Mus musculus: one gene and its partners. The protein of the gene in region 5 purifies or fractionates together with the protein of the main gene of each other region. This does not show direct contact. Links are inferred from orthologs where the notes say so. Each region holds a gene or a part of one and is shown on either strand. Other genes may lie near its edges. The genes, in order: Mrps26, Snrpa, Cdc5l, Snrpd3, Snrnp70, Snrpf and Larp7.

What was found.
Region 1: the proteins of Snrnp70 (region 5) and Mrps26 purify together in Homo sapiens (affinity purification with mass spectrometry; 3 studies listed by BioGRID and IntAct, counting the BioPlex papers as one, with this or other methods). This does not show direct contact. The link is inferred for Mus musculus from reciprocal best matches to the Homo sapiens genes SNRNP70 and MRPS26.
Region 2: the proteins of Snrnp70 (region 5) and Snrpa purify together in Homo sapiens (affinity purification with mass spectrometry; 4 studies listed by BioGRID and IntAct, counting the BioPlex papers as one, with this or other methods). This does not show direct contact. The link is inferred for Mus musculus from reciprocal best matches to the Homo sapiens genes SNRNP70 and SNRPA.
Region 3: the proteins of Snrnp70 (region 5) and Cdc5l purify together in Homo sapiens (affinity purification with mass spectrometry; 3 studies listed by BioGRID and IntAct, counting the BioPlex papers as one, with this or other methods). This does not show direct contact. The link is inferred for Mus musculus from reciprocal best matches to the Homo sapiens genes SNRNP70 and CDC5L.
Region 4: the proteins of Snrnp70 (region 5) and Snrpd3 purify together in Homo sapiens (affinity purification with mass spectrometry; 6 studies listed by BioGRID and IntAct, counting the BioPlex papers as one, with this or other methods). This does not show direct contact. The link is inferred for Mus musculus from reciprocal best matches to the Homo sapiens genes SNRNP70 and SNRPD3.
Region 6: the proteins of Snrnp70 (region 5) and Snrpf purify together in Homo sapiens (affinity purification with mass spectrometry; 5 studies listed by BioGRID and IntAct, counting the BioPlex papers as one, with this or other methods). This does not show direct contact. The link is inferred for Mus musculus from reciprocal best matches to the Homo sapiens genes SNRNP70 and SNRPF.
Region 7: the proteins of Snrnp70 (region 5) and Larp7 purify together in Homo sapiens (affinity purification with mass spectrometry; 3 studies listed by BioGRID and IntAct, counting the BioPlex papers as one, with this or other methods). This does not show direct contact. The link is inferred for Mus musculus from reciprocal best matches to the Homo sapiens genes SNRNP70 and LARP7.

The regions. Positions count from the first base shown.
Region 1 is NC_000068.7:130,562,336-130,565,894, forward strand, and holds Mrps26 (28S ribosomal protein S26, mitochondrial precursor), read left to right. Parts: upstream 1-1,421; 5' UTR 1,422-1,443; coding exon 1,444-1,655; intron 1,656-1,745; coding exon 1,746-1,892; intron 1,893-1,972; coding exon 1,973-2,096; intron 2,097-2,602; coding exon 2,603-2,722; 3' UTR 2,723-3,059; downstream 3,060-3,559.
Region 2 is NC_000073.6:27,193,472-27,197,733, reverse strand, and holds the start of Snrpa (U1 small nuclear ribonucleoprotein A), read left to right. Parts: upstream 1-1,462; 5' UTR 1,463-1,743; exon of another isoform or gene 1,744-1,953; intron 1,954-1,973; exon of another isoform or gene 1,974-2,177; 5' UTR 2,178-2,199; coding exon 2,200-2,290; intron 2,291-4,262. Other genes in the region: BC024978 (UPF0692 protein C19orf54 homolog), read right to left, coding at 368-720. UniProt on the Homo sapiens protein: Component of the spliceosomal U1 snRNP, which is essential for recognition of the pre-mRNA 5' splice-site and the subsequent assembly of the spliceosome. U1 snRNP is the first snRNP to interact with pre-mRNA.
Region 3 is NC_000083.6:45,409,708-45,413,207, forward strand, and holds part of Cdc5l (cell division cycle 5-like protein), read right to left. Parts: coding exon 3,415-3,500; intron 2,928-3,414; coding exon of another isoform or gene 2,921-2,927; exon of another isoform or gene 2,299-2,920; intron 2,284-2,298; coding exon 2,121-2,283; intron 1,232-2,120; coding exon 1,067-1,231; intron 1-1,066.
Region 4 is NC_000076.6:75,516,703-75,520,841, forward strand, and holds the start of Snrpd3 (small nuclear ribonucleoprotein Sm D3), read left to right. Parts: upstream 1-1,339; 5' UTR 1,340-1,423; intron 1,424-2,611; 5' UTR 2,612-2,632; coding exon 2,633-2,758; intron 2,759-4,139. Other genes in the region: protein GUCD1, read right to left, coding at 452-494. UniProt on the Homo sapiens protein: Plays a role in pre-mRNA splicing as a core component of the spliceosomal U1, U2, U4 and U5 small nuclear ribonucleoproteins (snRNPs), the building blocks of the spliceosome.
Region 5 is NC_000073.6:45,378,743-45,382,242, reverse strand, and holds part of Snrnp70 (U1 small nuclear ribonucleoprotein 70 kDa), read left to right. Parts: exon of another isoform or gene 1-1,424; coding exon 1,425-1,526; intron 1,527-1,624; coding exon of another isoform or gene 1,625-1,725; exon of another isoform or gene 1,726-1,747; intron 1,748-2,082; exon of another isoform or gene 2,083-2,166; intron 2,167-2,908; exon of another isoform or gene 2,909-3,434; intron 3,435-3,500. UniProt on the Homo sapiens protein: Component of the spliceosomal U1 snRNP, which is essential for recognition of the pre-mRNA 5' splice-site and the subsequent assembly of the spliceosome. SNRNP70 binds to the loop I region of U1-snRNA.
Region 6 is NC_000076.6:93,586,859-93,591,042, reverse strand, and holds the start of Snrpf (small nuclear ribonucleoprotein F), read left to right. Parts: upstream 1-1,384; 5' UTR 1,385-1,501; coding exon 1,502-1,504; exon of another isoform or gene 1,505-1,630; intron 1,631-2,919; coding exon 2,920-3,045; intron 3,046-4,184. UniProt on the Homo sapiens protein: Plays a role in pre-mRNA splicing as a core component of the spliceosomal U1, U2, U4 and U5 small nuclear ribonucleoproteins (snRNPs), the building blocks of the spliceosome.
Region 7 is NC_000069.6:127,546,850-127,550,349, reverse strand, and holds part of Larp7 (la-related protein 7), read left to right. Parts: intron 1-2,803; 5' UTR 2,804-2,804; coding exon 2,805-2,988; intron 2,989-3,159; coding exon 3,160-3,260; intron 3,261-3,345; coding exon 3,346-3,429; intron 3,430-3,446; exon of another isoform or gene 3,447-3,500. UniProt on the Homo sapiens protein: RNA-binding protein that specifically binds distinct small nuclear RNA (snRNAs) and regulates their processing and function.

The DNA of each region.
Region 1 (3,559 bases), on a different chromosome or scaffold from region 5:
CCTTAGATCTAAATCTCTTACATTTATGAAACCTTCTAAAAGGATGGGTGCACCTGACTAGCGAGAGGACTTCAGAGCCAGCAAGGTTAGGGAGCCTCTAGGGAAATGGCCCATACCCTAGAATATTCTCTTGGCCTAGACACTTAAGTTATCTGAGATGAGTTGCCGGTTGTCTAGGGTGACCCTGAAGAAGAAAGGGTTAGGACAGGTATGGTGGCATATGCCTTTAATGCCAGAATTTAGGAGGCAGTGGCAGGTGGATCTCTGTGAGCCTGATCTACACTGTAAGTTCCAGGCTAGACAGAGCTATCTAGTGAGACCCTGCCAAAAAACAAAACAAAAACAAAAACAGGGTGGGAGTGTCAGGTTCCCTGACATTCGGAGCAACCCTGTGGTACTCCAGGGTAGGGCAGCAGTAATGCCCTGGTTTCCACAGACCATCCATCCTGGATCCTCCAGGGCCCAGCAATGGTCTTATGGCCGGAACCCTGGAGGAAAACCTGTCACCAGCTTGCCCCCAGGACTCCAGAGTACACTCTGGCATCTCATCTCCAAAGCCTGACTGAGAGAAAGAAAGTGCAGACTGGGCCTCCACCAAGCCTGGAAGTTGAGAGCAGGGTTTAAGCAGCCTCTGTTCTCTTCTGAGAAAATGTCTGTTATTGCACCCAGTCCTGGCTCCTCAGACACTCCCAAGTGTCCTGGAAGTGCAGGACCATGGCCTGGTGTTCTCTGCAGAATCTGGTCTAGACAATACTAATGAGTGGGGTGAAAGTTCAGTTCCCCAGTACTCGGGTCAGCTTCTGATTTCCAACAACTCTCCTTGCTGGAGAGGCAGAGGGGAACGAGCTACTTCTGAGACAGATGCTCTCTGCCCTGCTGCACTGCTGTTTCTCTTCAGTTGGAGAGGAAATTGTACTTCATAAATAAGAGTAGTCTCGAGGTGGGAAGACCCCGGGTCAGGTGGAAGAGGACAAGGGTCACCTCACAGGTCGCCCAGTTGAGAACAAGTTGTCACTGATACTGAGAACTCTGGCAACTGCAGAGCTCCCCCAAGACCACAGCAGGGCAGTGCAGTGCAAGGAAATGGTTTGCAAATCTAAAGTTTAAAGTAGCCAGGAACTCCAAATTTCTTGCATCAGGTCTGGGAGGGTAGACAGGCCATCGGCGGGCCAGAGAGCCCCAGAGCCACACACTTGGGACGGTGTCCAAACTTGTGAACAAGTGGGCAGAGCGTCCTGCGGTGTAGCTGTCTTTAGCGGGCGACGCAGCCCAGCAAGCTGTGGGTCTCCAAGGTGCCCCTCGACCCCTCCCACTCTACCCGAGAGTCCGGACGTGCATTGGACCAGACAGCAAGAGCTCCGCCCAACAGGGACGAGGACAGGAGGCTCCCGTGGTGCTCCGCGGCCACTTCCGGGCCGGGCGCAGGCGCAGGCGCTGGCTGTCATGTTGCGCGCTCTGAACCGCCTGGCGGCGCGGCCGGAGACTCGGCCCCCGACCCCGCTGCTCCTGCCCGTGCGCGGCCGCAAGACCCGCCATGACCCGCCTGCCAAATCCAAGGTCGGACGGGTGCAGACGCCTCCCGCCGTGGACCCTGCGGAATTCTTCGTGTTGACCGAGCGCTACCGACAGTACCGGGAGACCGTGCGCGCTCTCAGGTGCGTGTGCTTGTGCGTGTGGAGGGCAGACGCCCTTCGGGAAGGGCCGGGGCCGAGGGTGGGTGCTGACTCGAAGCCCGTCCTCCCCAGGCTAGAGTTCACGTTGGAGGTGCGAAGGAAATTGCACGAGGCCCGAGCCGGGGTTCTGGCCGAGCGCAAGGCGCAGCAGGCCATCACGGAGCACCGGGAGCTGATGGCCTGGAACCGGGACGAGAACCGGCGAATGCAGGAGCTACGGTGCGAGAGGCCCGGGACTGGGTGGGCTGGGCTAGGCTCATCTGTGGCCCCGCTCACCCTCGGCGTCTTGCCCCTCGCAGGATAGCGAGGTTGCAGCTGGAAGCACAGGCCCAGGAGGTGCAGAAGGCTGAGGCCCAGGCCCAGAGGGCTCAGGAGGAGCAGGCTTGGGTGCAACTGAAAGAGCAAGAAGTGCTCAAGCTGCAGGTGGGCATGCAGGAGGTCATGGGGAATGTGGACATTGGAGACCCCAGCAAGGGAGGCTGGGGGGGGGGGGGGGGGATGACAGCACTGGGCGTCAAGTGACCAGAGTCTTCAGGAGGCTTCTCCATCAGCGCAGAGGGTATGCCTCGCAGGCAATGGTCAGTAAAAGGTTACAGGCTAGTATTGCCTTGTGAAACTTGAAGTCAGGGAAACCGTAAGTGAGAATGGAGCGCTTTTTAACACGTAAGAGGGATTCATGCACTTGAGAGAGTCCACCCACCTCTAATCAGGTTGTCACGATTTGTTCTTGGGTTGTGGCCGAGAGATCTGATGGGTGATTGTCCAAGGAAGAGCAATATGATGGTCGAGGTCACCTAGTACAGTTGTGCTGGACGATTGGTGGGACACTCAAAGAGACCCTGGGTTCTTTTGACACCCGTGGACTAGAGACAGTGCAGGCAGCCAGCTCTGGGAGAGATCCCACAAAGCCAACCTTTCTCTTCCTGTAGGAGGAGGCAAAAAACTTCATCACTCGGGAGAACCTGGAGGCACGGATAGAAGAAGCGTTGGACTCTCCGAAGAGTTACAACTGGGCCGTCACCAAAGAAGGGCAGGTGGTCAGGAACTGAGCACAGAGACTTCTGGGGGCCCAAATAAGCACAGTGCTTGCCTAGGGTCTGTGTACTGGGATAGGAATTGGTACATCCCAGGAGGATGGCTCAGCCGTTTCCAGAGCAACCTCAGTCACTCCAGGCTCGGCACTCACCACCTGACTGGGAACTCCCAGATGTCCCTGTTCTGGCACCACAGACAAACTCAGGGCAGCATTAAACTCTGGGAAGTTCCTATCGCACAGAGGATCGGACTGGACTGTGTCCCCTCTAGAAGCCAAGCTTGTCTTGTAAGTCTCTTGGAGTCGTGTGAGCCAAATGTTTCCTGCTTTTATAAATAAAGTATTGGAGCCCAGTCTTGCCCATTTACTGGCTATAGTTACAGTGCTAATGAAAGAGGAAAGTAGTTACACCAGATGCTAACTTGCTTGTAAAATCAAAGGCGTTTGTCCCTAATTATTTGAGTCTTTAGGTTTCTAGCCAGAAGCAAGTTTCACCTAACTGAGCTATGAGTTAGGTACCTGCTTTGCTCAATCCTGGGATTTTCTGGCTAGGGTCTGGTGTGTCCAAGATCCAGGAAGCAAAAAGGGTGCCCTGTTTCTCCTGATGGCTCTCCAGCAGTGACTTCTGTAACCAGGCCCTGTCCTGATCTATCATATTTTGAACTACTCAGCAGGTGGTAGACTCCCAAGCTAAACCTGCTTCTTCCAGTCAGTTGCTGCCCTTCTGTGTGTGTAAGTGGTAGCCAGAGGGCAGCCTTGGTGTCATTCTTCAGGACTCTCACCTTGGTCTGATTTAAGTTTGTTTTGGTTTTTTTAGTTTATTTTTTACTGTGTTTTATTCTGGCTTTTGAGA
Region 2 (4,262 bases), about 18 Mb from region 5:
CTTTACTGTAGATCTGCTCGGTACTGTCTGCTTTCATGGCACTGGCCTGCATAACGTGCTCACTAGCATTTGTAGCTGCTTCGATTCTAGAAGCCAACACTGAGATCTGTCCTTGGGCTCCATTATCACAACTCTGGCTACTCTGGAGTCACTGTCTGGAGGCACAGAACCACTGGCTTCTGTGTCAAAGCCAGGCCCGAGCAGAAGCTGTTCTCTCTATTGCTGGAAGCTAACTAAGTAGGGTACTTAAGGCATCTGGCTGTTTGAGATCAAGGAAGTGGGACCGCAAAGAGCAGGGTGGCTGTGGTGACTTGTAATCAGGTGATTGTCTGAGATCTGGGCTGGTTTTGGGGGCTGGAGACCCTACCGGTCCTTGTGCAGCTTCAGGAGCCTCTTCACATCCTCTTTGCCTTTGGGGGCTGGGCCAGCCTTCTCTAAGGCCTCCTTCAGGAGCTGGCTGTTCTTCAGGCCATAGACATGAGGGAGAACAGGCTCCACAGCAGAGGGTAGAGGGGGAGGGGGAGGGGGAGGGGGAGGAGCAGGAGGGGGGGGAGGGGGCGGCAGTGGGGATGAAATAGATGTATGGAGACTACAAGGAGGGGATGGTAAAGCTAGGTCCGGGGGATTTAGAGGTAAAGGAGGTGGAATGTTGGTGTCTGGGGTCTCATGAATTATTGGAGAGATTGTGGGTTTTAGGGGGAAAGAGCATGGAGAAGTCATTTGGGGTCTACAGGAAGAATAAGAGGCTCTCCCCAAATCTCCCAAGGATGGAGATTTTCAGTTTTTAAAGGAACTGGATGAGAGATATTCAGGCCTGCACATTGAGATCTGTAAAAAAAAAAAAAAAAAAAATTAAAACTGGAGTTGATAGCAGAATATGGTGTCTGGCCAGTTGTTCTGGGAGAACCTGGGCTAGTATTTGAAACAGTGGAAAGAGAAACTGGGCTAAATCAAATGCTGAAGGATCCCGAAGGGTGGTCTGTGCTATGGGGCTGGGGCTACATTAGAAGGGACATTTTGTAGGTGTCATCTCATCTGCTGTAGCTAAGCTAGTTTTGGTCACTTCTGTTATTCGGAGGTTCAGATCTGTTGTGAGGTGTCTAAAGGATGTGACTTGCCTACTTTTTGCATTGCGGGCCTGAGTTTGAAACCTTGACTTTACGAGCTAGGGTTAAGAGGTTACAAAAAAGGCACGTGGGTGAGAAAACAGCCTAATGGTGGGCGGGTCATGGGCTTAGCGGGGAAGTATGAGAGTCGCAGCAACTCAGCGATCAAAGGCCAACTAAGTTGGTATAAACCTATCAATTTAGGAACTTAGGAATCTGCACAAGCGCCTCCCCAGGAGGAAATGACGTCACCCGGCCAGCCTCCACCTGTCCTTTCCCATCCCACGTGATAGAACTCGCAACCAGCACAACGCTCTTGAAGGTCACGTGATACTGGCGGAAGGGGAAGAGGTGTGGCTTCCGAAAGGCAGTCTTAGAATGCACCAGAGCTCTAACCATGTCCCAATTGGCCAGAAGCTCGTGCCCTTCTTTGATTGGTCCGTTCCCTCGCGTCCAGGGGGCGGGACCCCAAGTGTTCCTTTGGCAGACGCTGAGGCCGGGGGAGAGACTCTGAACTTACCGAGTTTGCCCGCCGTGATTAGCTCGCGGAAGGGAGAAGCCGTTGCCGGGGAAGATAGTTGTGTGTCTGTGCAGCGTAGCTCGGCGGGCGTTGTCGGCGGGAGCGACGGCTCAGGTGGTGGGTTCCCGCGGGTTGTAGACGCTGCTCGGCGCCGGGGAGGCGGGTGGAGCACTTCGGGAGGCCTCTCTTTGAGAGACTAGGATGTTCCAAGTCGGCCCCTACTTTCTTAACTGGCTCCGACATCCGGGGTCTTTTTTCCTCCCGGGACGCCTTTCGCGCACGTGGACTAATGGGAAGCGCCGCTCGGTGTGCTCCGCCTGCCGGGACTCGTAGAGCATTCTGGGATTCGTAGTTAACCTCTCTAGCTCTCCCTTAGCACGCGGGTTGGAGAAGCGGGGGCCTGTGCTGGCTTTGTTGCTAAGCTGTGACATCCTCTTCCAATTCCGGTCTTACTCGACTTCCTCTTGGAAGGGCGATCCCTGAGCATCAGCCCTTTGGAACAAAGAATTTGGGAAACTTAGGGCTAAAGTCGCTTTTTCCTCCTCTTTAAGCCGTACCTGAACATCTCACACCATGGCCACCATAGCCACCATGCCAGTTCCCGAGACCCGTGCCAACCACACTATTTATATCAACAATCTCAATGAGAAGATCAAGAAGGATGGTGAGTTCTTGGGGTAGCCTGACTCAAGGTGATATCACAAGAGTTGACCCCTTTTCACCTCTAGCATCCACATTTCTTTTTCAGCCTTCCCCATTCTGTCTGTTAGGAGTTAACTTTGGCCTTTGTACCTACTGGTTCCTTGGTTTCACCCTAGGTTTTACACTCTGCCCTTTAATCTGCGCATTGTTAGTGATCTTCCAGGTTTTAGCTCATAGGTCCCTTCTTCCTTTGAAGCCTTCCAGGATCGTTCTTGCCATCAGTCTGCTTTCATGAGACTGTCTCTGTCCACTGACCTCTGGGTGGTGGCCTCAGTGATTGACTACAATGCAGATGACACACAGGAGGGATGGGCAATGGATGGCTTTGTGATGTGGGTGATTGTGCCGCGTTCTAAGTCTTGACTGTCTTTAATTCTCACAAGCCTCTCAGATTAAGTAGTTGGAATTTGGGTGGCATAACTTGCCTGGGATCAAATAGCAAGAAAAATGAGACAGAAATGTGGGGTTCTGCTTAAGCAGATTCTTAGACTGGGCTGGTTGGCAGAGGCTGTAATTCTGTTCTTCAGGAAGAGTGAAAGTTTGAAACCATTTGGGACAACATGGCCAAAGCAGATAAAAAAGAAACCAAAGACAAACGGTTTCTTTTAGGGTGTGGAGGTACAGGGCTGTAATCCCAGTACTCAGGAGACTGAGGCAGGAGGAGCTTGAGTTCCAGACCAGCTGAGGCGACATAGCAAGACCCAGTGTCCAAAAGGTTTGAGGAATGTAGCTAGTGTTAGTCTTGCCTAGCAGGAGTAAGGATCTGGGTTCAAATCTCAGCAACTAAGAAAATCAGCATGGCCTGGAGAGAGCTCTGTGGTTAAAGAATGCTGCCTGATCTAACAGAGGATCTGGTTTTGATTCCTTGCCTCCAGGGAGGTTCGTAACTGTGTGTGTCTCCAGTTCCAGGGGATACGACATCCTCCTCTGGCTTCTGCAGGCAAAAAAAAAAAAAAAAAAATCCACACATAAAATTTTTTTTTTTTAAGATTCTTTTTAAATAGAAATCCCTACCAAATAATTCAGTTCTTGTCTGGAAGTAAGGCCCATAGTTAGAAAGTTTCTGCAAAGACTGAATCCCGGCACACATTTTTAAAAAAGTAAACACAAATGACTATTTTTATGTATTTATTTTGTGTGCATCTATAAATGGATGCATGAGGGTGGTCAGGACCCCTCTAGAGAAGCCTTTGTCTTTCAGCTGTTGAGTTCCTGAGATCATATTCAGGTCGTGAAGGCTTGTGAAGTGGATGGATGCTCTACTGCCCTTGCACTGGCCCCTTGGTGCATTGCTTTGTGGAAGTAATTCAGAAGTTAAGGAAGGGTAAATACTGGTTCTTATGACCAACTGGAGAAAAGTGTCGTGGGAGGACTGGGAAATGACTCAGCTGGTACGCATGCTTGCCTGTAAGCCTGACTTCCCAGGTCCCACTGTGATTGACTTCAGGTACCTGGTGCTCCTGCCTCAGGCTCCTGAGGGTTGGGATTCTCGGGTGGGGCCAGCATGTCCAACTGACAGGCTTGTAGCTGTTAGTGGTGGTCGGTAAGTGGACTTGTGATGTCAGCAGGAGACAGGGTAAGAAGAGGGCCATAAGGGGACATCTGGACAGTGAAGTTGGAGAGAGCTTCCTGCAGGGAGGCTGCAGATTTATGCTGAGACTTAAGTGGCTAGAGGGGCAGTCATGGAGATGTCAGGAGAAGGGCATTCAGTGAAGAGTACAACGGCTGAGGTGTGGCGGACACTAGGAGGCCGTGCTTGTGAGTCAGACTGAGACAGGAGAATTGTTGACAGTTTCAGGCTATAGAATGGGATCCTACCTTGAATAAACAAGTGAAGGAAGGAAGGAATCGATGGCATGTCAGGCTTAAAGGCCTGGAAGGTTAGCTTAAGAGTGAAAAGAAGTGTTTGTTATTTGAACAGCAAGTTTGTAGTA
Region 3 (3,500 bases), on a different chromosome or scaffold from region 5:
GCAATGCCAATTAAATGTGGCTAATCATGCAATCAACTGATGGCAATGTCTCGGTGTCTCTCAGCTGCACAGAAGCGGCTGTGGGAGCTCGTGCATTTCACAAGTTCCATACTGACATAGGATCGAAGCCTAACCTTTACTGCACAGAAACACTAACAACAGTGTCAATTCATTCATCATGTCAGTAACTTATTAAAACTTTATCCAACAGTTTAGACCTCAAACTCTGTATCCTCACATCTGCCCAATTGCAAGAAAAACTGCAGCACGTTACAGAGAAAACAAATATAGCAATGATCTATAGTGTGATTTTGTTCTCACAACCATCCTGAGACAATATGACAGAAAGGGGCTATGCAGTATGAGAAAAACTAATGTGACCCAATTTTCTTCTTCCAAATGGAGCTAAAACCTATATATCACTGGACAACTACTGCATCAGTATAAGAGGTTGCTAATATTTCCCAACTTCCAAATCTAGTTTTTGTCGGTCTGTACAGATCTAAGATTATTCAAAACTAATCCAATTTTTGCTTTTAACATCCTTTCTTCACTAGATTAAAGCAATCCTTTCTTCACTTCTATAAATAAAACACATTCTTGTGTTTAGAAGAGCATAGTAAATTTCAGTGTTTAAACAAACATATGTATACAAACATCTAAAAAAACCAATTAAGATATTCTAAGCATAAGATCATTCATTTATGTGAGTATATTATTGTTAATAATATAATTTGAGGAATTTTGTTAAAATATTAGAAAAACTCAAAGTAGCAACCTAGAAACACTGACAGCCATGCCTCCCTCTAAAGGCTCTCAACCTTCCTAATGCTGCAACCCTTTAATACAGTTCTTCATGTTGTGGTGACCCCCAACCATAACCTTATTTCACAGCTATTTCCTACCTGTAGCTTTGCTACTGTTAGAAACTGCAATGCAGGTATTTGCTCTACAGGATGTCTGATATGTAACCCCAAAGGGGTTGCAACCCGTGGGTTGAGAACCACTGCTCAACAGCCGCATGACCATACTGACCATACTGATGATGCTTTTTAATGATTCTCACCTGCTTTCGAGCATCCACATCAGCAGCATCTTCAATGTAGGTATCATCTATTTCACGTTCTTCTAGTTCCTTCTCGGCATTTTCAGGCAGAACAATTTCAAAATCATTCTTAGGTGCGGGGAGGCCTAACAACCCTAAACGGAGATGTTCACGAGATTCTCTTTCCTGTAGAGAAGAATTGGTCCTTGTCAATTCACACTGTCAGTACTAACTAATAAAGTCTCTAAAAACTTCTAAAACAGCAGAGCATAGTGACACATGCCTGTAATTACAAAACTTAGGTGGCTGATGCAGGGTTACCACAAACTTAAAACCAGCTTCCGTCTAAACAAAACAAACAAAAGTTTCTGAAACACCTGGCTTGGGGCCAGTACAAGCGCTTGCCTCCAAGACTGACCACCTAGGTCTCATTCACAGGGCAGAAGGAGAGAACCAAGTCCTGTAAGGTGTGCTCTGACCCAAACACACACACCACGGTAAATGTGCACCCACACGGGACACAGGAATATACACTAAATAAGAAATAAAGTATAATTTAAATGTTTAGATATATGTAAAAATCAAACAATTAACTTAGTAGTGACTCTTGTAAAGTGATCCTCAACTTTCTTATTCTCTTACCTTCCTTCACTAATATCAAACAAAACCTTGACTTGTAATAAACCAGTGTATTGTGGTGTTAAAAATCTCAAAACTATGTCTTCAAGGACAGAGAAAAGAGCTCATTAGGATCTGTACTTGATTTTGGTAGAGAGAGAGAGAGCAAGCGAGGAGAGATGGCTCCGTTACTAAGAGCACTAGCAGCTCTTCCAGAGGAACTAGATTCAATTCCCAACACCCACAAGGCAGCTCACAATTGTCTCTAACTTCAGCTCCAGGGGATCCAACACCCTCACACAGACACACATGCAGGCAAAACACAAGAAAAACTTGAATTTAATTTAAAAATTTAGAGCTGGAGGTATCTCTCAGTATAGAGCACCTGCTTAGCAGGTTGAAGGTCCCTGGGTTCAATGCACTGAATATATAAACATAAAAAAGAGCTGATACTTACCATCTGCTTCACGTAAGAGGGGTCACTGTAGTCTGCCATTCCATCCTCTGGATTAATGTTTAACTTGTCTCTAAGTGGTGTTCTACCTGGGGTGGCATTAGTGACTGGTTTAGGAGTTGTTCCACTTCGGGGAGTCAGCCCTTCAGCTCCATTAGAAGGAGTCCTATACAAACAGAAATCTAAGTCATGGTAAATGCATAAAGTAAGGAATAAAGACACCAAAACCTTTCTCTTGCTTTCACTGTGTTATGTTGATTAAGACTGAAGTTCAGTTTGGTGAGCACAGTATTTATATGTACTGTACTGGCTTCCAGCCCTTACATCTGATGTTTTGCCTTCCCATGCCAGGTTCACCAGACATTTTTTGAACCTTTGAGGCAGTAGGGTAACTAAGAACAAGCAGCTGGCAGAGAGGCTGGCCACCACACTCACTCGGGGGCCCCAGGTGACATGCTGAGCTCAGTGTGCTCATCATTTATTGTCTCCCTTCTTAAGTCTTTACCTTTCATGTCACTCATTCCCATCAAAGGTGCACTTTACATGGTTTATGCTTTTATATTTTGTTTGGAAAGCAAACACCACATTTTCAGATTCACATCTAATGATGAACAGGTTCTGAGTTTAGGCTCTCAACAATAAAGTCCAGCAGCAACTTATACTTTAATTAGTCAAAGCCTTTCTGGTTTTGGTTGCTTACTTCCTGTATCTTGGCTGTGTTCCAGACTGATGGTACTGCCAGACATCTGTTCCCAACAGGTGCGGTGTTATCATTTAAGACATGGTCCCTGCCCCCAAGGAGCTTACAATCTATTTAAGAGACAAGATATACACAGGAAAATAGAAATTAGGCTCTCTTTAGCCTCACAGGAAGCAATAACTACTATACAAAGACTAGCTTCCGATGATTCTTGATTCTGCTCTCATCCACAAGTATAATGGACTGTGGGGATTTCTAGCCTAAATAACCCATAGAGGGCAGAGCTAACAACTAAAAATAAATAACAGGGCTAGAAAGATGGCTCAAGTTAAGAGTGCAGACTGCTCTTGCAGAAGACCCAGGTTCAATTTCTAACACCCACATGGCGGCTCACAACCTTAACTCCAGTTCTTTGGGAGCCAATACCCTCATCTAACCTCCAAAGACACCAGGCAACCCAATTAGAAGACATCAAAAAGGCAAACCCAAGTTAATAGTTATTCTAATCTCTGTCAACATTACTCAAAAAAAATCATGCTGCTCAGGTTCTTAAGTGAAGTTTTTCTAAACTACAGACCATGCTGATTTTTACAATACCTGAAAGGGGTAGACAGAACTGTATTTGGAGTCTGCACAACTTGCCGCTGTGGGGTCACACCAGAGAAGTCACTCTCATGCAGTGG
Region 4 (4,139 bases), on a different chromosome or scaffold from region 5:
AGAAAAAGATGTTCCCTTTGCTGGGTGCTCCCAGGCCATTCTTTTCCCCCTCTTTCCCGCCCCTTTGCTGAGAGCTCTCAAGCCATTCTTTCCCCCTCTTTCTCGGCCTCAGGCTTTCCACAGTTCCCCGGGGAATAGGATCACCCAACGTGCTTCAAGCAGGGCTATTCGATTCTGGACAAGGTTGTGCCTTTTTGCCCCTTGGACTTTTCCACTTGACGGCTCTCAGCACTCCCTGGGCTTCAAGCCCCAGGAGACTCAGGAACGACCCTAAGTGGAGGACAGGAGATGAGAAGGAATATCCACCTAGCTAGGACCCACTAGAAGCTCCAGGCTGGGCTGAGGCCGCAGACGACCCAAGGTCGCGCGCGGCCAGACCCTGCCCGGCTCTAGGGCGGAGTCCCCCTCCGTTCCCCCGGTTGAAGGCAAGGCCCTGAAGAGAGGCACTGACCGGGCTCGAGCGGCTGCCCCGCTGCCTCTGCCTCCGTCCTCATGACCCGGATGGCGCAGGGCGCCCATGGCCCCGGCCTGGAGCTGATTGCAGCGGCGACTTCTGCTGGGCAGCGAGCGCGGCCAGTGAGCGCAGAGTTCCTCCTCCTCCGCCTCCGCCGCCGCCGCCGCCACCGCGGTTCAGAGCCGGGTAGGCGGTGGCTAGGCCGCCTCAAGCCACGCCTAATCCCTTCCAGGTCTGGGCGCTGGAAACCCGCCCCTTCCATAAGCCACGCCTCTTCCCTTCCACCCCCACTTCTCCTTCCAGAACCCGCTACCCGTAGGTCCTTCCCTGAAACGCTCCGGGGGCCCCTCCCCCTCCCCGAGCCCCGCCCCTCCCCGAGCCCCGCCCCCAAAGCCCTTCCCCTAGCGACGTGGGCTCCCCACGCTCTCCCTCCGCTAGGTCTGTTCTTCTGCAGCCTCAGATGGAAGCTCTGGTTCTCCGCAGTGCCTTATCGAGACTCCAGGGAACACTTTCCCGACTCCTTTTAGGTCTTCTTACCCAGACAAGGAATAATGAGAGTTCCCAGGGCTCAGTGCGTCCCTTACCTGCCGGTGGCCGGATCCAAAGCTTAAATCTCTAGTCCAAGCCTCACTTCCTGTCTCCCCAGAGCACTGGGCTCAAGCCCAGATCCCGCCCAATCCGCCACTACAGTACTCAGGGTTACCATGTTCCCTTGTTGGGCTCCAGGATTGGTGTTTCCGGCGGTCCCCCGGGCCCTCTCCGGTGCCGGAACTATTGTGCTAGAGCCCTGGTTTCCCCAGCCGGCTAAGTGAGAGTGAAGGGCAAGTAGGCTTAAAGGAAAGGGAGGGGCCTGCGCAAGGCATTCTGGGAGCGCGTGGTATTCGTGAGAGTCGGGCCGGTCGTTCTCTCGCCTTCGCCTTCTAACGTTTGTGCCAGAACCGGAAAAAAAATAAAGCCTGCAGTTAATTGGTGAGGAGAGGCGGCTAACGGGAGAGAGGAGGCCAGGGCTTCCCCAGGGGGTTTAGGAGCTGGAAGGGCCGCTGCGGAGGAGCTCAGCGGGGCTTGCTTAGCGGAGGGCGGGAAGCCAGGGCCTATCCAAAGCTCATCTCCCGAACCCTTGAACAGTTATTAATTTACGCCTAGTCTGCACGTTCGGTGCCTTCTCAGGTCACCGATTTCCGAAGCTTACGGGCAGTCATTTCTTGCTAATTACCTCCTTTCCTTTTGGATCATCATTTACAACGTCCCTTTCATCCCTGCCTCCACTCCCATTCCTGCAGTGGCCCTCTTTTCCACGCTGCTGCAGAAGTTTAATCAAGTTGCCGTGCTATATGTTCGATCCACTTTGTAGATGCTACTCTTTTTTTTTTGAACCTTTGGCTATCATCCTGCAGTGTTTCCCTACCATTTTCAGCATGGAAACCCACACTCCTAAAGTTGAAAGCCGTGGTTCCTCACCGAGAGAGAGAGACTGTGTTTAGCATCCTTACAGTCTTCTCATGCAAATAAATGGTGTGCTCCGGTTTTGAGTCGTTTCCAATCTCAGCATTTTAAAAGCCCTGTGCATAGTCTTTGTCTTGTAGTGAGACTTAAAGTCGAGCGTTTACCCTATTTCTCTGCTTGATGAACATTTCCTATTTATAGCACCGTAGCCTTGACAGTTTTGGTCTGCTTTTTGGTGGGGATTCAAAACGCTGGATTGAAAAGCGCAAGCTCTTTTTCCTAGCTTCCTTGGGGCTCAGGTCTATATGTACTATTAGGTTCTGTAGCCTTTATCCAAATGTGGTGGCTGACTACTTGGGATATTTCTGGTGTGACTGAAAGACTGAGTTTGCTTTTATTTGCATTTTATTTAACTCCATGTAAACAGTGATTTGTTTACACTCCGGGTCTATATCATAGCCCTTTTAGTGACTATAAAGGGTCATATGGCTGGGATGAGAATGGGGGTAGTACTCTTTGTTCCCATTACTTTTCATTGTCCAGCTTACCATCCTTCCCTACCCTACGTGTTGCGCTAATTTGCTGTGGTGGTTCCTTGAGGCCAAGAGCCACACTCCTTCCACAGGAAACGCAGCTCTTGACATCATTTACAAAGCCCATGGCGTGCCAGTCCTTAAGCTCTGAAAGATGACCATCGTCTCTCTTTCCCTGTAGCCCGGGAAGAGTCCTGCCAAGATGTCTATTGGTGTGCCGATTAAAGTCTTGCACGAGGCTGAAGGCCACATAGTGACGTGTGAGACCAACACCGGGGAAGTATACCGAGGGAAGCTCATTGAAGCAGAGGACAACATGAACTGTCAGGTATCCTGCTTGGCACCAGGGCTGGGAAAGGGCTGTGGCTTCTATCCTGTGGGTAGAGCGGTGTACTTGGAGGTCTTAATGAAGTTATTCTCATCAAACAGTTATTAACTAAGTACTTATTACCTGTCAAGCACTCTTACAGGCTCTAAGATTTTATGTCAGTATAGACTTAGCCTTGAGGCAGAAAAGTCATTTGACAGCCTGTGGTTGTACGTGTGTATCCGAGCACTTGAGAGGCTGAGGTAGATTCTCGAGTTCAAGGCCAGTCTGGGCTTTATAGCAAGACCACACTGCTTTTGGTAGGGAGTCAGAATGCTGAATTGAAAGCACAATCTCTTTTCCTAGATTTCTCTGGGGTTAGGTCTATATTTACTGTCAGGTAGCCTTTAGCCAAATACAGTTGCTAAGTACTTGTCTATAAAACAACCAGTTAAGTTTCACTTTTCTGTCTCAGAGTCGGTCAGGTTCAGAGCCAGTGTCTGCTTCCCAGCACAGTGTATAATTTGCAGGATCTTCTACTCACGTATTGTGTGTGCTTACTTTTGTCTTGGAGAAAGTTTCATCTGATAAAACTGCCAAAGTTTTGGCATATGGTTTGGGGGTTTTCCCCATTAATTAAGAACTTGAGCTTTGGAATCAGAGAATTCCCTGATTCCAAATTGAGTTGGGCCATAATGATAGGACCTTGGGTATCCTGGTCACTTGTTCTCCCCTGAATAAAATGAGGATGGAGTTGTTTTGGATCCTCTGTGCTGTAAATGCCAACCCAGAATTAGATACACCAGAGACTTTGGGGAGGTGGCGTGAAGGACGCCAGTGACCGAGCAGGATTGCGGAAGTGATTGGTTACTTTGCTTGTTGCTGTGATCAAATTCCTGACCAAAGCAACTTAAGGAAGGGGGAGTTTATTTCGACTCACAGTGTGATGAGACAGTCTGATGCAGAAGAAGTCATGGTGGCAAGAACTTGAGGAGGGTACTAACTAGTCACATTGAATCTGCAGTCAGGAAGCAGAGATGAGTGCCAGGACTTAGCCCAGTTTCTACTTTTCACCTCCACCTAACCTAGACAATCCCTCGCAGACACGCCTGTCCCTTCAGTAATTCTAAATCCATCAAGTCGGTAATATTAATCATCGTAGCAGGAGGGTCTTCAGTCCAGGAAAGGAAGGCAGAGTGAGCAAAAGGAGCCTCAGGCTACAACATGGTGCTGAGGAAGTTTCACCCAAGTAAGAGGAGTAACTGGAGCCAGTAATGGACTGGCTCTGATGTTTCTGCTGTGGTCAGTCCCTGGCAGCCTGCTGGAAGGGCTGTCGCAGCGTGAATGCCCTGGCAGGTCCCCCAGAGTGGCAGCTGGAGGGTGCCAACCTGTTGTCTCCTGA
Region 5 (3,500 bases):
CTGAGTGCTGGGCCTGTACCTAGTGGAGCGTAACTGAGGCAGTGGTGAGCAGTAGGTGCTTTTGAGGCCTTGAGGCCCACTGTTTAGGTTGGGCAGGATAGATAGATCCAGGTCTCCCAGCCCGGGCGCAAACATTCCTCTGACATTCAGAGGCTCCCTTTTTTCCTTCATCCACTTGTCTCTAGATGATGTGGGAAATGTAGTGTCTCCCTCTCAGGGTTCCCTGTAGCTTTAGTTGCCCCTGTGGTGGTGGGTGTGGGGTTGTGTGAGTGTTCAGGTAAGCTTGGGGTCTCCAGGTAAGCAGTCCCGTGTCCCAACCCCCACCCCACCCCCGGGAAGCCCGCCTCCTCGCCAGGCCCCCAGGAGTTGCCGGCCCCCCCCATCCCGCTCGGTTTGGACACCCGCAAGGCCGGCATCGGTAAATGGCACCTTTTTCTCTTCCTCTGGTTGTTATTGGGGGGGAGTGGGCAGGGGTGGGGCAGGGTATTGTGGTTGGTGAGCACAGCCCCTTAGGCCAGGGCTGGGACCTGGACAGGGACTTTTTGGCCTTCTTAACAGCCCTGCCTGATCACAGGCCTGGGCTCTGGGCCTTCCCACTATGTCTTATGCTCCTCAACTTCCCTGAGGGTTCAGGCAGGGCTGCATGCCCTGCTGGCCATTGACCTCGGCTTGGAGGACAGAGCTGGCCAGGCTAGGTGGTGGCAGGGTCAGTCGGCTCAGGTAAGGCAGGGATTTTGAGTAGCACGGTACATGTCCCTTTGAGTCCAGCCAGGGTCCTTGGAGGTCCCTGGGGAGCTCAGCACCCACCTATATCCCTGCCAGTTCCTGAAGGTCTTTCCACTCCTGTTCATTTCTGTTCTGATGTCTCTTTCCTCACACTGACCTCCCCTATAAAAACACACAGAAAAACAAAAACAAAAAAACAAAAAAATAATCTGGTGTGGTCTGGATGTGGTGGGGCCCAGTGGGCCTCCTGCCTCAGCATGGTGTCTAGGGTGCATGCCTGGGTGTGGAGGAGCCTAGCCAGCCTCCTGCCCAGCATGGTGTCTAGGGTGCATGCCTGGGTGTGGAGGAGCCCTCCCCACAGCAGAGGCCAGCATTCAGCTAACCTCCAGTTTCTTTGCAGCAATTTGGCCGCCCTGGCAGGAGGGGGCTGCTCCATCATGTGAAAGCTGGGGGAGGCCAGAGTAAATGTTTTACCCCCCCAATAGCACTTGGGGGTGCCAAAAAGGAATCAAGCACCGGATGGAGCAGGCCCTTCAGGGTGGGGAGAGGGCGGTCTGGCTGTTGGTTGCCTGGCTGACTGGTGGGAGTGTGAGTGTATGTGTGCAGATGGGGTTTGAGGGGCAGGGATGCTGTTGTATGGAGCCTTGTCTGACTAGAGGACCTTCTGGGGAATTCCCCCTCCCCCACATCTGTTGCAGCCGCTTACAAGCACGCAGATGGCAAGAAGATAGATGGCAGGAGGGTCCTCGTGGATGTGGAGAGGGGCCGGACTGTGAAGGGCTGGAGGCCCCGGCGCCTAGGTGAGTGCAGTATTCCTTCTGGGTGCCTGGGCCTGTGATTAGAGATTATTCTTCCTTCAGTCTCCCCAACCCATACGCCTGTTCCTCTCCATTTCCAGCTTGTCTTCTCATCATCTTCATGGCTTTGGACACTGGTGCACACAGACACCTACACATGAGCACCCAAGCATACCCTGGTCTTTCCTGCATGAGTGATTGACCAGCAGCAGTTCTTGTGCAGTGTGGGTAACTTCAGCACTGACCTCAGCCACCTTATGCCCATATACTTGGTATCATGGGCTGGGTTGGAGGGTATCACTGGCTCTAGCTTTGCTCTTGCTCTCACTGAGTGGCTTCTTCATTCACTCTCTAGCTGAGTCACCAGCCCAATTCCTGGCTTCACATCTGAAGCAAGAAAGCAGCAGCCTGTGCTCTGACCTTGCATCTGACCCTCCTGGCCTTTCTGGTGGTTGTGGGCTGTCTCCATGGGGGTTGTTGTGGCAAGTCTTGAAATATATCTGAGGGTCTTAAAGCATAAGGAATAGAGGTGCCTACTGATGCCAGGCTCTTGTTTCAGTCCCATGATTGTGATATCATCAATAGATCCTCACCAAGACCTTGAGACTGGACTTGGAGAGTTTGCTGCTCACTCTGTCAACAGGTGTCACTCTCTAAGCTATTTGCTGATGCCTCAAATTAGGCCCTGGCTGGGTTTAGGTCTTTTGTGTGAGTAGCTTCACTCTGTCTTAGGCAGTATTGCCTGGCTCTGCTTTCACCTGTGCACCTGTGCAGAGGTGACCTACCATCCCAACCCCCAGGGACCTCCAAGTCTTTTATTTATTTATTTATTTATTTATTTATTTTAAAGATTTATTTATTGTTATATGTAAGTACACTGTAGCTGACTTCAGACACTCCAGAAGAGGGCGTCAGATCTCATTACAGATGGTTGTGAGCCACCATGTGGTTGCTGGGATTTGAACTCAGGACTTTCGGAAGAGCAGTCAATGTTCTTAACCACTGAGCCATCTCTCCAGCCCCTTTTTTCTTTTTTAAAAAAGGTGGATCCTTTAGGCTGACTGCTGTGCTGAATGAAGTCTCAGAAACAAGACAGTTGTTGTGGTTACAGATTTGTTGATATTAATATAGTAAGGTATGAGCCCGCTTCACTCCCATGGACAGACACTTAGCCTAGGTGAGACTTTGGGCAGCATTTTTGCCCATGTGCATAAAGGTATTTGTTACTATTTGTGTGAGGATCTGAGATATGGTCTTAACTGTGAAGCCCAGGGTAGCCTCAGGCTCTTGGTGATCCTCCTGCCTCAACCTTTAATGAACAAGATGTTTGTTTTCTCTCAGTTTCTGAAGTTTCAGACTGAGTTAACTATTTCTGTTGCTTTTAGACTTGTGACAGTTAGATATGAAGAGTGATGGAGGGACGGAGTCTACTTAGGGTGCAGGAAGTGAGTGTTTATTTTGAAAACTGTTGACATTGTAGCTGTCTTTGGCCACTTTGTGGGTTCTTTTTTCAACCCTATTCTTCCACCCTTTCATCTCTGTAATACATAAGAGAGGAGGGGGAAAAGAATAGAGAGGAGTGGAAAGAGACCCCTGAATACAATCGGATTGAAAAGGAGACTACCTGCAGATTAGGGGCATTGAGTTCCTTGGGGCAAGTTTGATCTTCACCATTAGGATATGTAATTTCTTCTTGTTGTCTCTTATTTGTACCTGACTACTTAAGAAACCAACAACCTACCCTCTTGTACAATCCAGGATGCGTATACCCTCTGAAAAGTTCTCAGAATTCCAAATGCCACACAATCACAGTAACTATCCGCAGCTGGCAAAACCATGCCTCTTATAGGCATGAAGCAAACCCGCTGATTCAAAGCAGTCCCATATGCCCACACCTGGGATGAAAACAAAAACATGTTCTTATAATATTTCTGTGGGTTTTTTTGGTTTTTTCGAGATAGGGTTTCTCTATGTAGC
Region 6 (4,184 bases), on a different chromosome or scaffold from region 5:
ACTCTTGGTCCTTTGCAGAATACGGAAGACAGCTCAATACAAGGAGAAAAATACTAACATGAATCTGTCTGAGTCTAATTCCCAGTATTTCATCACCTACAGTATTAAATTAGAAGTTGGACTAGGTATCCCCAGGATTGTGAGTTTAAGATTTATAAATTTGTCAATGCTGACTGAATAAGTAGAGCATATTTGAGTGTCAGGAACAGTAATTATTCTTCCATTACCATGGGAAAAAAATCCGAGCTAAGATTTCGGTCTGATCAAAATGTATCTGAGATTAGCAGCATCATTTTTAAAATTTTCTTTATCATGTTTTGTCTGCATGTGCGCATGTGCACCGCGGGAGGGCCTGGCACCCACAGAAGTCAAAAGAGAGAGATGGGTCCCCGGCACATGAAACTTTGGATGGTTGTGAGTCACCACCATGTGGGGATGGGATTCGAACCCAGGTCTTTTCACGTGCGAAAAGCGCTCTTCTCCATTGAGCCAACACCCCCAGAATGTGTTGGCATACTTTAATAATATAAACGACAGTCTTTAGGCTTAGGCCTGGGCCAATCTCGAATCTCGAGTTATTTGGGGAATCCATGCCAAAAAAACAAAACAAACAAACAAACAAAAAACCGTTCAGGTTCATATAGGGTTAGATCTCCCGAAAAAGAAAAAAGTACTCTTTTTACACGGGTTTCATATCACAGGTGAAGCGATACTGAAATGTTGAGATTATGGGGAAATTAAACGGGGTTCTGATCGATAACTTTCCATCAGAGCGATTAACCTGTGGTAGCGTCAATAATTCCCCACATCCTATTCACAAACACACGTAAACGGACCTCCTTTGGCCTCTGGTTCTGGGAATGCTTAGACATCAGAACGACAAGAGGCCACCACATTATCCGAGACTTAACTTGACCTGGTTTCAACTGTTGTAAAGCCCCACTTGAGTGCTTTTCACTAGCACTCACGTAGTCTTGCTACCCCAGCTTCCTTTAAAAACCCGCAAGTGGACGGACATTCTGTAATAAAGAACAGTCCCATAAAAGGGGGGCCGTGCCAGAGGTGTTCCCCAAGTGCTGGATCTATGGGAGGATGACCTCCAGAACCCGATCTCGTTCTTTCAGCTGAAGGACAGACTAAACCTTCTTTAGCTAAAGAAACCAAGTCCGTTCGCCAGGGCACTTAGCTTCCCCTTGTCCCGAAGCAAAGACATTGGGGTCGCTCAATCGTTCCCACTTCGAACTTGAGCAGTGGACACAAACACACGCTTACCTGGTTGCTAGGAAACAGTACCGCCATCCCCTCCAATCAGTAAACACGTCTTTGGTGGCCAATCACAGAAGCCGAGACAACGCGGCGTGAGGTGAAAGGTCAGGCCGCTTTTGTCGGCCATTTCTCTTAGCGCGGGTCGCTTGGTTGTAGCGGCAGCCGCTCCGGTCACGAGGGGCGGGCAGCGGCGGAGTCGGCGGCTAGCGGGGTGCAGCGCTCGCCGGTGGTCGCGATGGTAAGGACGATGAGCGCCGCGGGGGCTGGAGGACGGGCGGCCTCGCGGGGCCCGCCGCCCCCTGCGCCTCCCATTCATCCCCACGAGGCGCCGCGCGGCTGGCCGCTCGCTCCTGCTCCCGACGTCGGAGGCCTTGGCGGCGCGCGCGCGGAAGCCCTTCCCCTCCCCGAGATCCCCAGCCACCTTTCCGCGTGTTGTTTGTCCCGGAGCCTGAGGTGTAGCCTAGTTTGGGCTCACAGGGTAGGGGTAAACCGAAGCGAGTTTTCCATTTCTACCTAGCACGCTCCGCAGTGCGCCATTTATTCCTTGCTGTTGACAATTTTAGCAGATTGTCCTCTGGCGCAGAAAACCCCGGCTACCCTTCCACTCATTTAATACTGATCTTAGGCGCCAGGAAGATGGGGTGGTAAGGTAGACTCTGCGTTTTCTTAGGAGTGGGAGGTAGGCAGCCGTCAAATAATAACAACAAAATAAGCAATTACAAGTAGCGGTGATTGTTAAGCAGGGAGCTGATAGGATGCTCTGAGAGGTGCACTGCCTAGTTATAACGCAGTGGAGGAGCGCTCTTCTCCAGAAGGTGTCAAATAACCAGACATCCAGGTCACAGAGCAGGTGGAAGAGTATTTCTTGCGCGAGTTCCAAGTAGAAAGTAGGTTTGACCAGTTGGAATTGACAAGAATTGACCGCTGCTTGCAAGAATGATGGTTTTAAAATACAGCCTGGGACCTTAACGCCTCCTAGGAAATATGAGGCTCTGTCAAGTGCAGTTAGAGACCATTGGAGCATTCTTTTAAGTCACAATAGTACATGACTTGATAAGTGGTTTGTGGATGATAAATTATAGGCAGCGTAAATTGGCTACTCATTTAGACCCTGTGCTCTCCAAGATTCTTTGGGATGGTGTGTGAGTGGAATGGAGTATGGGGGTGGTTATGAATTTAAAGGGAATAATACTTCTTGATTTAGCATTAAGAGGCCCTCTCACTGACGATATTGAGCTTTTTTTTTTTTTTTAATGTCTGCAGAGACCACCCTGTACCTTTATTTTGATTCCTTTAGAGCTTGGATAATGTAGGTATTTGGGGCTTTTGTCCATTCGGCAGTGCTCAAAATGGAACTAGTGACCTAAGTATCCTAGGGCAGTGCCCTGTCATTGTGTTACACACTTGCCCCACTCCCATCTGTCATTCGACATTTAATTGCATAATTCATATTTTCGTTTCTGTCAGTGGACTATGAAGTTGGCTAAATGGGTACTTAAATTTCTCTCAGACACCCTCCAGCAAATTATAAAGTGATGGTGGATCGGAGTTTACCCTGTGTCATAAAGTCTTGACTGGTGTCTCAGTAGAGAGTGGGTGGTGGAAGCTGAGGTAAGCAAAAATTATTGAGTGCTGCCTTTGGTTTTTATACAGAGTCTACCCCTCAACCCCAAGCCCTTTCTCAATGGGCTGACAGGGAAGCCAGTGATGGTGAAACTTAAGTGGGGCATGGAGTACAAGGGCTACCTGGTCTCCGTGGATGGCTACATGAACATGCAGGTATGCTGAGGAGGAGGAGCATGGGTGAGGAGCAGGAAACCAGGTTTCTACTGTGTCACCTTACTCCTCAAAGGTTTACTGAGACTGGTGGGAATGCGCACAGATTGACAATAGAAAGTGGAGTCGAGATTAAAGTATGAACCAGGGAGGAGGTTGAACCATGATGTTCTTAGGAGTACTTACACCAGAACACAGAGCTTTGACATTTGGTCTCTAAAGCAGAAGGGAAAACTAGTTTATTACAGAAAACAATGATTCAGCCTGTCTTTTTCTAAGACGTGTCTGTATAGGCGATTAGCACTATGATGCAGTGGCATTAGTACTCAAATGGAACTCTGTACCCATTAAATAGTTCTGTTACCACCTGTAATCCACCTGTAATCCAGCCCTATGATTAAGAGTGGGACTGTCTCTCATGTAAGTGGAATGTATTATAAATTCAGCTAACTTCAGATCAAAAATTCTTAAGAGAAATTATATCTTATGTTCGAGGTACACAGTCCTTTTGCTTTCTCCACTGTACTAGGCTATGATCAGTCTAGAAATTAGAAGGACATTAGGTTCTATGCAGATGCTCAGCTATTTGAAACAAGGAGCTCCAACACCCTTGGTCCTAGAGGCCCTGGAACAAAGCCCCATAAATGCCCTGGGGTAGGCTTTTTGTCCTTTTGTCTGGTTTGATTATAGCTTCAGGATTCATTGATAGAAGTTACTGCTTTTCAGGACTGAATAATATCCCGTTATATAGCTATAACGCATTTTTACAGTCTATTATGTTTGTTTGGTTTTTTTAAAACATTATTTTATGTGAGTACACTGTCACTTTCTTAAGACACACCAGAAGAGGGAATTGGATTCCATTACAAATAGTTGTGAGCTACCGTGTGGTTGCTGGGAATTGAACACAGGGTCTCTGGAAGAACAGTCACTCTTAACTGCTGAGCCATCTCTCCAGCCCCATCTGTCCAGTTTCTTGTAGGGATCAAGCCCAGACCTCTGTACATGCTGACCAGCAGTCTGCCACTAAGCTACATTCTCAACCTGTTCATTCATTTTGATTTCTAGTTTTTAATTTTATTTTATGGATGTCTTGTCAGTGTACTATGTATATGCCTGCTGCCCATCAAAGTCAGACAAGG
Region 7 (3,500 bases), on a different chromosome or scaffold from region 5:
TCTGCAGACTTCTCCACAGCAACATTTTAAAGTGCTTAAACCACATTTTCTTTAATCAATCTTCACAGACTTGTGTCTACCTTTTATGGACCACAGAAATGAGAAAACTTCCAGACACATGCAGATATGGTTTGGTCAACTTGGTGGATTATAGTGTTAACATTAGTGAGGATAAATAGATTTTGGCCGGAAAGAATACATTTCCTTTGAAATGTGTGGAATGGCAATATAATTATTCATTACTACAGGACCTTGGGAAAGTACAAATAGGGTTAGGAGTGCAGCAAGGGCTGAGGAGTGGTTCAGTGGTAGGATATGGAAAGCCATGGGTCTAATTCCTATTCCTAGCATCAAGGAGAAAGACAGACAGAAAGTGGGTAGAGATGAGGAAGCTCTGTAACCAAGGTGTAGCCATTTAACTAACTGGTTTTCTTTGGACCTGGAGTAGGGAAGCTAAATTGTTCTGTAGTTTATGTGACTTTCTGTTTGGTCTGTAACTTGTTCCAAATTGAAGGTGTATTTGATCTGAACTGGAATATGCTAAGTTACAAAAGTAACCCTTAAGAGAAACAGGAAGAATGGCCTCTGGGCTAAGGTAGTGGAATGATAACTGTGAGCATCTGTGTTTTGCAGTTCTGTGTGCTCTGCTTTAGATCTAGTGGGTGAAGAGTAGAGTAGCTGTGAGTTCCACTATGCCTTGGATCAGAGTCTCGCAACCTTTCTCATGCTGTGACACTTTAATACAGTTCCTCATGTAGTACTAACTCCTAAGCATAAAATTATTTTGTTGCTGCTTCATGACTGTAATTTTTCTGTTTTAAGTAGTAATATAAATATCTGATATGCAGGTTATCTGATATGTGAGCCCCAAAAGTGTCTCACCTACAGGTTGAGAACCTCTGCCTTAGATGGTGGGCTTTGACAGGAAAAAGAACTAGAAAGCTGTAAGCCCGCCCATTATGATTAACAGTTAGCAGTGGAGCCTGCTCTGATCACTGAAGTCTGTATTTATATTTGTTTATACTCCACCACCTTAGAAAAGAACTTGAGATGCTTAATACCTTATTTTCATTATATAGGGCGAGACATTCACAGAGGCCCACCTGCCAGTGCCTCGTGGGTGCTGGGGCTTAGGTACCACCATGCCTAGCTACAGGGACTTTTAAATATATGTAACTACTTCACAAATACGTAGTGATTAAAGCCTTTGCCTCTATATTTGTATTATAGTGGGGTAGGTAGATAACAAAACTCTAATTCCAGATAGTGGTGAGCATTGAAAGAAAAGTCTAGGGGATAGTTCAGATTGGGATCCATGGGACTCTTGTAGGTTGGATGAAAGACAAAGCTCTCTTAAACAGTGGCATTCACAGATCTGGGTAAATAACCAAGCCAACCATACAGTCAATTACACACTTGACATGAGAGTGTGTGTGAGTATTAGGGAAAGAAACAGCAGGAAATTGACTATAATAAAACAGAGTAGAAGCCAGCTGACCTCTAGGGAAGATCTTGGAATAGTTCAAGTGAGATGTGATAATAACTTGGACCAAGTAGCTTATTAGAAATAAAAGGATTAATTGAGGATGTATTTTAAAGCCCGTGCTAGTCTGACTGCTGGTGAATTGAATTGACTGTAGAGTATGAGGAAGGGAGTGAGACTGCTTTCTGGTTTTACAGTTTTGTAGTTGGTATTTTGCAAAGAGGAAAAAAAATCTTAAATTTATAGAATTCTGTTTTTTTTTTTCAAACACAAAAGAGATTTATTTATTCCAGAGGGATAAAGAGCAGGGAATAAGAGATAAAGACAGGAGAAGGGATGAGGGAGAGGGGCTGGAATTCTGTTTTTGTCAGATAAAGTTTGCGATATCCTCTAAATGAACAAATGGAGATGTCAAGTGTGTAATTGACTGTTGGAATATGGAGCTAATGAGAGTGTGTATGTATGAGATAGAGAGCCCAGAATTGAATAGCCAGGACCCTCAGAGAGGATAGATGAGACAGGAGGCCAAGATAGGAGTTTAGTCACAGTTGGAAGTGTCCCTTTTCTGGAAGGATCCAGAAAAGGCAAACTTAAAGCCAGATGAAGAGGTCAGGTAACTGTTGGCATTAGGCAAACACTGAGCTCATTGGGGTTCCGCTTAAATGGTAGGAATGAAAGCCTGGAAGGATACGGTGAGTTGAAAACCTGAGATGAGATCCAGTATTCACCTATTTTTTAAAGACAAGTACACTGTAGCTGTCTTCAGACACGCCAGAAGAGGGCGGCAGATCCCCTTACAGATTATAGATGGTTGTGAGGCACCATGTGGTTGCTGGGAATTGAACTCAGGAGCAGTTCATCTCTCCAGCCCTCCCCCCCCCCCCATAGGGCTACAATGTACTTAATTAGTAATTATCAGGTAGAGGGTTTTTTTTTCCTCTTTTTTTTAATTAGGTATTTTCCTCGTTTACATTTCCAATGCTATCCCAAAAGTCCCCCATACCCACCCCCCCAATCCCCTACCCACCCACTCCCCCTTTTTGGCCTTGGCGTTCCCCTGTACTGGGGCATATAAAGTTTACAAGTCCAAAGGGCCTCTCTTTCCAGTGGTGGCTGACTAGGCCATCTTTTGAGGTAGAGGTTTTACTACTTGAATTTACTACAGAATTTGCACTTGCCTGACAGACCAGCTTTAAAAACATCCTTACTGATGTCAGTGAGATGGCGTCCTGCAGCAGGAATTCCTGCAGCAGGAAGGTTCAGGTGACAGGGGCATTTAGGCACTTTACAGTTTGGCATTTTTGTTTTTTCCCCTCTCAGAATGGAAACTGAAAACCAAAAAACTATGGAAGAAAGCACTAAGAGAAAAGAAGAAAAAAAGAAGCGCTCCCGGGTTAAACAGGTGCTTGCAGATATTGCTAAGCAGGTGGACTTCTGGTTTGGAGATGCAAACCTTCACAAGGACAAGTTTCTGCGAGAGCAAATTGAAAAGTCTAGAGATGGATGTAAGTTTTTTGTCTTTGTTGGAATTTCCAACTCACATTTATATGGGGCCAGAGCCTCCTGAGAGCTCAGTACTGTATATGTTCATGACACACAACTGCATGTTGAACTCGTGCTTGTTTGCACACATGTATATATTCCAGTGTTTAACATCCCACTATCCTATTTACTAGATGTGGACATTTCTCTCCTGGTGTCTTTTAACAAAATGAAGAAGCTGACAACTGATGGGAAGCTAATAGCCAGAGCATTGAAAAGCTCATCTGTTGTAGAGGTAAAAAACTTACATTTCAAGTCACCCACATCCAATTAACTACTGACTTTATTTAGCTTTCCTTTTTTTTTCCCCCCTCATAAAGTTGGACTTAGAAGGGACCAGAATCAGGAGGAAAAAACCCCTAGGTGAGAGACCAAAGGACGAGGAGGAACGCACGGTATATGTGGTAAGAAATGACACAAATTTTAATTCTAGTTCATTTATTTATAATTCATTTATTGGTAAAAATGTAGGAAC